Linked DNA regions of Mus musculus: region 2 is reported to be linked to region 1. The links are microRNA targets in miRTarBase. Many come from high-throughput screens and were not tested one by one. Region 1 holds a microRNA gene; the other region holds the end of a gene's coding sequence.

Region 1 (4,422 bases):
GCACAGCCCACACACTTGTTCTCTGAACACGAGAATCTGACCACGAGGCTCCTCACTCAGGCACTCTGTATGGTCTTGCCCCCTGCTAATGCCCCACCCATGTGGCTGACCCCCAAGTCCTGCTGTCAGATCCCCAGTAGAAAGGCGAGCTCACCCTTGGCGTAAGTGCTGACGAGAGTGGCGAAGTTAGCAAGGAGTGTGAGCGGGGAGAAGTCGGCCAGGTCGGCAATCTCCAGGGTGTGCAGCAGGGAGCGCAGGCGTTCAGCACAGAACCTGAGAGGCAACGGGGTCAGGAGCGGGAAGCAGCAACAGGCCCGACTCTCACCATGTTTCCCTGGGCACCTGGGCATTGTGTGAAGCTACCCCATACTGTAGAAGACCCCCAGAGCTACCACTCCAGGCTGGAGCACAGCACATACAGTGCACAGGCTCACTGCTCACACGCAATATCCTGTTAAGACTCCCGGCTAGAGCCCGGCGTGGTGGCGCACGCCTTTAATCCCAGCACTCGGGAGGCAGAGGCAGGCGGATTTCTGAGTTCGAAGCCAGCCTGGTCTACAAAGTGAGTTCCAGGACAGCCAGGGCTACACAGAGAAACCCTGTCTCAAAAAACCAAACCAAAAAAAAAAAAAAAAAGACTCCCAGCTAGCAGTCACTCTGTTTCTGTCCAGCCAGTGTCACGGGCCCAACGCTCAAGGAGGAATAGCCACATACTTTCTTAGCCTCACAAAGGCTGTGTCACCTGCTCATCACCCAACATAGGGACACGTGGCTGCGGCACTCACTGCCAACCACACAGTCCAATGGATGCCCTCCACATCCAGTTCTGACCTGCCCCTTAGCCTTATCTATGGTCCAGACCCCTTTATCATCAGCAACAAGGCTTGGGCCCGTGGTTCCCCGTGCAGGCCGCACCTGAGGGGCTTGCGCTGGATGCACACCCGCTGGGCCAGGCCGCTCAGAAAGGCAGGTGGACTCTCCTGCACCACATGCTGCACGCGCAGACGCCACTTGACATACTCCAGCAGCCGCCGCAGAAAGCCCAGGAAGTGCTCAGCCGTACGGATGGAGCCAGGCACAGCCTCTGCAGGGAGACCCAGTCAGGTGGTACAGGGGTGCGTGTGCGGGGCAGGGGCTGGGTGGTGGGGGAGTGGGGAGTAGCTCACCCTGCAGCACCTCGTCCGGCAGCACAGGGTTGGCCAGGTGGGCATCTGTCTCCCGGGCCACACTGGCCTCCCGCAGGCCCTCCACCAGGCGCCGGTACTCATCCCGCAGCCGCTGCTCATCCGTCTCCTTGATCCTGATGGGGACATGGGACAGGAGCTGGAATGAGGCAGGTGCCCAGGGCACTGAGGCACACACAACAGTGGGAGCAGACAGGCACCTGAGCACGGTCTTCTGTAGGGTGTCTAAGTTGCTCTGGCAACGGTCCAGAGTCCTGCGGGTGAGGTTGACACTCATGGAGTCAATGCAGACATTGTCTGAGGAAAGAGCAAAGGGATGAAAGCCGGGCTCAGGCAGGCCTGGGGGCAGAGGCAGAGGGCTGCCACTGTCTGCACACCCTGATGCCCGCCCTCCTCACCGATGTTGTGAGCTTCATCGAAGACCACAACAGCCTTGCGAGCCAGCTCTTTGGATACCAGGTCTGCGATCTTGGGGTCCAGGAGGTAGTGGTAGCTGTAAACCACCACGTTGGCATGCAGGATCTGGGCACATGAAGGGAGAGGTTGCCCTGGGCTCTGCTACCCCCGCCACACCCACTCTATCCCAGGTACACAGAGGTGCCACAAAGACAGACACAACGACGGGTGGAAAGATGGACAGGACTGTTAGCCTTTTGTCTAAGCTCCACCTCACAGTTACACGGCAATAGCCAGGTGTGCCTGAATCACTATAAAAGGGGCTTCTTGCCCCCCCCCCCTTGCTTTCTTGCTTTGCTCTGCCTTCCTGCCCCTGCTCTATCCTCTAGTCCCTTCCCCCATCTCTCTCCATGTGCTCATGGGCAACCCCCCCCTCCCTCCCTCCCCCGCCTTTCTCTGCCTCTACTATCCTCTTGACACCCTTCCCCATGCCCTGAATAAACCCTATTCTATACTATACTGTCGTGTGGTGGCTGGTCCCTCAGGGGTAAGGGACGCCTCAGCATGAGCCTGCAGAGGCACCCCTTTCCCCACACCTCCATAGAACATATCTCCCCCTTTATCTTTTTATAAACACATCAAGGACCACCCAGGCAAGGCACAAGAAAGCAGAGATACTAGGACGGAGACAGACGATCCAGACAACAGACATAAAGACGTAACAGCACAGAGTCAAGTAGACAGATGGGCCAGCAGAAGGATGGGCACGGTGGCTCATGCCTATACCCCTGACAGCTGAGAACCTGAGGCAGGGTTATTCCAAGTTTGAGGCCAGCTGGGCTACAAATGAGATCCTGCCTCATAAGGAAACAAAACAACTCTTCACCGAGTATCGAGCCAGGAAGTAGGGGCACCAGCCCTGGCGCTGCCCTAGGGCCTTCAGGTCATCCAGGTTGTAGATGCCCGCAGGGAGCGGCATCTGGCGTCCATGGATGTCAAATTCCTGGGGCAAGGCCAGAGGGTGGCAGGGTCAGGGAGAGCGGCTCTGGCGTGGCCCCCACCCTGCTCACCAGTTCTAGGCTCTTCCCTGTACCTCATAGAAGCGGCAGTGAGGCAGGCTGGCATCCTGCTGGTACTGTGCCCGCACATACGACGCCGTTAGGCTGTGACACTTCCCATCAACATCCTTCCCAAAGCGCAGTGGAGTCACCTGAGGGGGCGGGGTGTCAGGGGACAACATAAAACAGAGACAGGAAGTGGTGCATATCAGCTATTGTAACTTGGGTCTCCAAACTCAGACACCAGGAGTAGTACGTCAGCTAGGGTTTGGGGGCAGTGGAAACCTTCACCTGATTTGGTATTTGGTCTTTTGTTCGTTTGGTTTTTGGTGTTTAAAGACAGAGTTTCTCAGTATAATAGCCCTGGCTGTCCTGGACTCATTTTATAGATCAGGCTGGCCTTGAACTCACAGAGATCTGCCTGCCTCTGCCTCCCGAGTACTGGGATTAAAGGCATGCACCACCACAACTGGCTGATTTGCTATTTGCTAAAAGAACTTCCTGCAGTACTGTAAGTGTGGAGCATGGCTAAAATCATCCCATCAGAGCTGGACATGGCAGCAGGTGCCTGCAATCCCAGTCACTCCGACACTGAAGTAGGAGGAATACAAACACAGGTCAACCTGGGAACCTGGCAACCCACCAAACAAAAGGTGGAAAGGAGCTGGGGGCATAGCTCAGTGGTAGGGAGAGTGCTTGCTAGCACACACAAGGCTGTATGGACAATCCATATCACAGAGAACCAGCCAAGCAGAGGGCCAGCTGGATGGTTCAGTGAATGCGGATGTCTACCGCCAAGCCCGACAGCCTGATTTCAACCTGGGACCACACAGTGAAGAGAGAACAGACTCCCAAAGCTGTCCTCTGACCGCCACGTGCACACACATACACACAAACATGTAAGGTTTTAAAAAACAAGTGCCTCAATTTCTCTCCAAACAAACAAAAAAACCCCAAACAGAAAACAACGATCCCTGAGTGGCCTTTCTCTGCAAGCACTTGGCTCAGCAGGGCTTTGGTTCCCTGATGTGTGTGGGTTGTGGAATACCGGCATGAACATAATGGATACTGTCAGGCAGGACGTGAGGCTGTCATGAAATTATCTTATTTTGCCTGTATATAAAAATACCCAATCCTTTGAGTAAGCTACCATTTAGATTTTGACCTGTCACAGGTCAAATGTGTGAGTCTGAGGTGCCATGTGGAATGTAAGCAGTTTCTGATCCTGGTACAGGTGCTACCCTTAGCCATAAGGATGAGCATTGGCCTAACAACTGAGCAGCAAGCCCCACTCATACTGACAACGGGTTCCCTCTGGGGCTTGCATGGAGTGGCCCAGGGTGACAGCGCAGGGCTCACCTCGGGATGAATGCACAGGTTCTTTCTTGAGCTCAGAGCCAGTCCTAAGAACGGCAGCTTCTCGCCCTCCTGCTGCTCGTAGAAGCTGAGTAGCTTACGAAGCTCTTCTATGACCTGCTCAGATGATGGGAGCATTAGGTGGGGACCACAGGGCAAGCACAAGTCCTTGCCCACCGGGCTACCGAGGGCAGAGATGGGGGACCACCAAGGCCCAGGGGAGGGGGCAGAGCATGGGTCCCATCTGCATTGCCCACCTTCTCAATCTCTGGCACGGTCCGTGAGCAGTAGATAAGTTTGGTCACCTCCAGCGGATAAGCCTGTGGGTGACAGGGACCTCAGCCCCATCCAGCCCCACCCCTCAGCCCCCACTCCAGGCACTCAGAAGGCCACTCACCCGCTGATAGGCCACAATCAGGGCCAATAGG
Region 2 (4,000 bases), not on the chromosome of region 1:
AAGTTAAAAATATTGTGAGCTGCCTAACACGGGCTTTGGGAACGGAATTCAAATCTTTGGGAGAAAAAGCAGGTCTCATCTCTACAGCCACACTGTTGTGGTGGGGATTTGTTTGTTGAGACAATGTCTTGCTATGTATTCCTCAAACATGACAATCCTCCTGCCTCAGCCTCGGAAGTTCTGAGGTTAGAGTCTACCCTAATTGAATGATACCTCAAGGAGTTATCTATACCTCAAGGAGGATGGGCAAAACTAAGGAGGGGAACACCATCTAGGAAGCCAAAGGTGAGTTAACATCCTTACTGGCCGCTTCAAGGCCACCCATGCCCCTGACCATAACCTCTGACCCACTGCTTTGTAAGTAAACCTAATGGACTCCTTGGTACCCCAGATTGAACTTCGGTGGAACTGTACCCTCATCTGCCATTAGGACCTTAGAAAGTGCCTTGTTCCTTTCTCCAGAGAAGTCTTACAGCAGATAGGAAGGTCAAATGTTGACATAAGGAATTTGCCTATATCTTCTGTGAAGGAAATCTTAAGAAAACTCTAGCCTGGACAAATGGCCCCAAGTTATGGGCAGCAAAATGGAGACCCAGACTGGAGGTTTTACAGTGGTGCTATGCTGGTACCTTCATACCAAAAAGGACCAGCAGTGTGTTAAAGACAGACAGACAGTATGTAAGGAGGATCAGTTTGTAGGGCCTGCCAGTCTAACTTAGGTTCTCAGCTCAGGGGGAGTCAGTACTAAAAATTGATAGAACCAGTACTCTAGCTTTATATTTTTTTCTTCCCAAGTTTATTTTACGTTCTCATGATAGTTAGCAATAAATCTCCAAATTGAAAGACGTAGGTCATTTATTACAGCACAAATATCTTAGAACACACTGTATCAGACACTGCTAAAGACCTGGCAATAAATCTAAGACAAACAGTTTTGACTTTCCAAGTTGGCAGTCAGTCAAGCAGAACATAGATGCGGAGCAATTTACAAACGACACAGTTACTCTTAAAGTTTAAGATGCTACATGAACATACAACTGAGAACTGTGGAGAGGAGATGAGATTCAGCATCTGCCTTCAGGGTTTATCTGTAGTGGTTCTTTTAACATTGGAGTTAATCTGGAGTGCACAGTAAGGAAAAGGAGGAACTGGGGGAAATCCTCCTCCCTTCTGAGTCTTCAAATGAAGGCAGGAAGAAGACAGCTGGAGAGTGAATGGGAGCATTGGGAAACTTAGAGCTCCTGGGGACTTGGTATCTACTAAAACCAGAGAAAGCTTACTGAATATGACAAGAGAAGATCCTGCATGTAGTGTGTGCTCCCAGCATTCCGAAAAAGATGCAAGACAAGAAACTGGACTGCCTAGATAGGACCACACAAAATCATGCATTGTCCCAACATATTTGTCAATTTTTCATTATGGTCACACACTAATAACTCAATCCATAGCCCTCAGAACATATTTTTCAACATTCTTTACCAGATCCTGTTGTCTGGACATTCCTCATAGCCTGCTGACTTGTCACAGAAGGGAAAGGAAATGTCCCCTATTCCACAGCTACCCTCCCACTTTCTCTGTAATGGGTTACTTTTAACTCTGAGCTTCCAGATGGAGCATCCACACATCAAGACTCCCTCACTTCATCTCACCAAATGATGCTACTCATTCCTCCAAAAAAGAATAAAGTCCCTAGCCTTGCATGATTCCTGGTCTATAAAAGCCTAACTTTTAAACTTCTACCTAAACTTCTCTTTAAACATTTTTAGTTAGCATACAAAGAGTTTTACTCTGACATGTTCATACTATGGCCATGTGTATAAAATTATACTTTGCTCTTATTCACAGAGACACCTGCCTTTCCTAACTCACCCAGATTTCTCTTGGTCCTCCTTTTAATAATCTCTAAGAGAACTTTAAACCAAATCTTAAGCATCCTAAGTAAGTCTCACTGCCACCAAAATTAGGTTGAGCTGTTAGACTTTAAATGCATCCCAACTTTCAGTGGCTAGAAAAGCAAAAGGTGCTACCTTTAGTGTAAGGGCAGCAGACTGTACAGAGAGGCATATCCCTGTGACATGAAACAGATAGACACCAGTATTCAAGAGGATTGAGGCTATAACCAGAGAGACCCATCTTACTTTTCATCTAAGTCTTGGAATTCAAATTATGAGAAGGGACTGGAGCAGACACTCTATGAGACATAACTGCACTGTTCTTCACTGTCTCCATGGCTCACAACAAGTGATATAAGCAGGTTTGAGCCTTCCCCAGAAGAGCACTATCCAGACGTTTAATATATGAAACACCTCATTTTCATAAATGGAAAAATCTGAATGTCAGACTCTTGAAAGTCTCTGAACAAGAACGGTCAATTTTGTTGTCAGAGCATATCACAGATGCCCGACTCCCTCCAGATGGTCTTTGAGAAGAAAATAAGGAAGAGGAGAGTGTCTGCCATGAGGCACATGGAATCATAGTTGCTCATCAACTTCACATATAAGATGGTGTGAGTGGTGACAAGGTATGTGGCTGGTGACAATTCTCCCATGGAGTCCCTCCACTGACAACCATTCTTACTCTCGTGGAATCCTTTGGCTTTCCATGTCACCATCTTCTCCTTTAATACTTACTTTATGAGCTTTTACTCCACACACAGGTTGGGTGACTTTCAGACCTTGGCACCATCTCTATTTAGATATCAAGACTGGTTGCTAGGCAACCAATCAGCTCCTCTCTTACTTCCTCCAGCAGGGAGCCAGCTGACTGTACTAGCAGAACAGGTCAAACAGAGCTCAATTCAGATCAGATCAGTGTTCAAGGAACTTGGATGAAAGCAAGAAGGGGAAACCATGTGGTCTAAACACAATGCAGAAGGGTCCTGTTCAGGCAGTTTTGTCTTAAACAAGTAGAGGAAAATAATCGAGTCAGAGTTTTAAGGCCAAATGCAATTTTGGGCATCATTCCAAACCTTTTTTATTTACAAGTGATGCATCTGATGCCCTCCAGTTAAACGATCTGTCTAACGTCAGACGGAAACACAGCTGCAGTTAGAGTTCTGGTGTCTAAACTTCGACATCAAATCTCCTACACCAACCATGGAAGATCTAAAAGGAACCCCTCAGGGGATGATACCTTGATAAGTTAGAGGAACTTTTAAAACTAGGCATATTTGGAAAGTCTCAGACTTCTAATGAGGTTATAGAAAGGAGATTTAAAAATTGACTAAACCTGAACTTAAAAAAAATCCTTATGTACAATATAAAAATGAGAGAGGAGAGAAGAGGACACGCACAGCAGTCTGGGTCACTGGGCAGGCAGAGCCTGTGGCAGCTGCATGCTGGGGGCAGGCTGCATGGGCTGCCAGCTCTCCTGGGTTTGAAGGATGCGGTACAGCTGCTTGAGCTGAGCAACGATGTTATCTTTGATGTCTGGAGTGGAGATCTGCAGGCGAACGCTGCCACTGTCAAAGGACCGGGTAAAATCACCAGAAAACATCTCATAGATCATGCGAGCCACCACTGGGATGACCTGTTCAGGCAAGAGCACACAAGTTTCCACTGAAGAACAGGCATTTTTAAGTAGCAGGAGAGGCCCCGACATTGATGAAGAAGCTCTGAGGCCCTGAGAAGCACTCGGCTTCCCCACCAACATCTAGATACTAGTGAACAGCTATATCTCACTAGTCAAGGTTTACCTTAGATGTTGGTTAATTCAAAGAAAGGAACCTGGATGTAGCATCATTCCACATGCCTAGCTAGGTGGTGGCTTACTTAGCAAAACTGTGAATCAAGAGGCATCCACTGCCTATCTTGGTGTATAAGTCCATGCAAAACCCCAAGTAGACTTGCAACCATCCCCAGAACAGTTACATCTTACAAACATGGCCAAAATGTTTTATAAGAAGATATAGAAAATGTTACTTCTTATAAGGTCTTAGCAAGATCCTAACATCAGCAGGAGAATGAAAGGTGAAGTGTCCGTTAAATTGTCCATCCATGTT

Evidence for each region. The annotated mature microRNA mmu-miR-343 reads UCUCCCUUCAUGUGCCCAGA and lies in region 1 at 1,706-1,725, opposite strand. An mRNA with a match to its seed (bases 2 to 7 or 8) in the 3' UTR can be bound and repressed. Matches are read on the target gene's strand: a 7mer-m8 pairs with bases 2 to 8, a 7mer-A1 pairs with bases 2 to 7 and ends in A, and an 8mer does both.
Region 2: miRTarBase lists Irf6 as a target of mmu-miR-343. Seed matches in the 3' UTR shown: 7mer-m8 at 1,164-1,170.

What each region holds. Positions count from the first base shown.
Region 1 is chr7:19,383,991-19,388,412 of GRCm38, reverse strand. It overlaps Mir343 (microRNA 343), which reads right to left and starts at 1,770; the gene lies at 1,696-1,770. Ercc2 (excision repair cross-complementing rodent repair deficiency, complementation group 2) reads right to left here. Exons shown (of 23, transcript NM_007949.5): 3 at 4,392-4,422; 4 at 4,252-4,314; 5 at 3,998-4,111; 6 at 2,674-2,790; 7 at 2,467-2,583; 8 at 1,583-1,706; 9 at 1,385-1,481; 10 at 1,167-1,300; 11 at 916-1,084; 12 at 155-273.
Region 2 is chr1:193,168,810-193,172,809 of GRCm38, reverse strand. It overlaps Irf6 (interferon regulatory factor 6), which reads right to left. Exons shown (of 8, transcript NM_016851.2): 8 at 774-3,528. The coding sequence ends at 3,304. Among named protein-coding and RNA genes, the nearest start is that of A130010J15Rik, 2.8 kb to the left of the region's middle.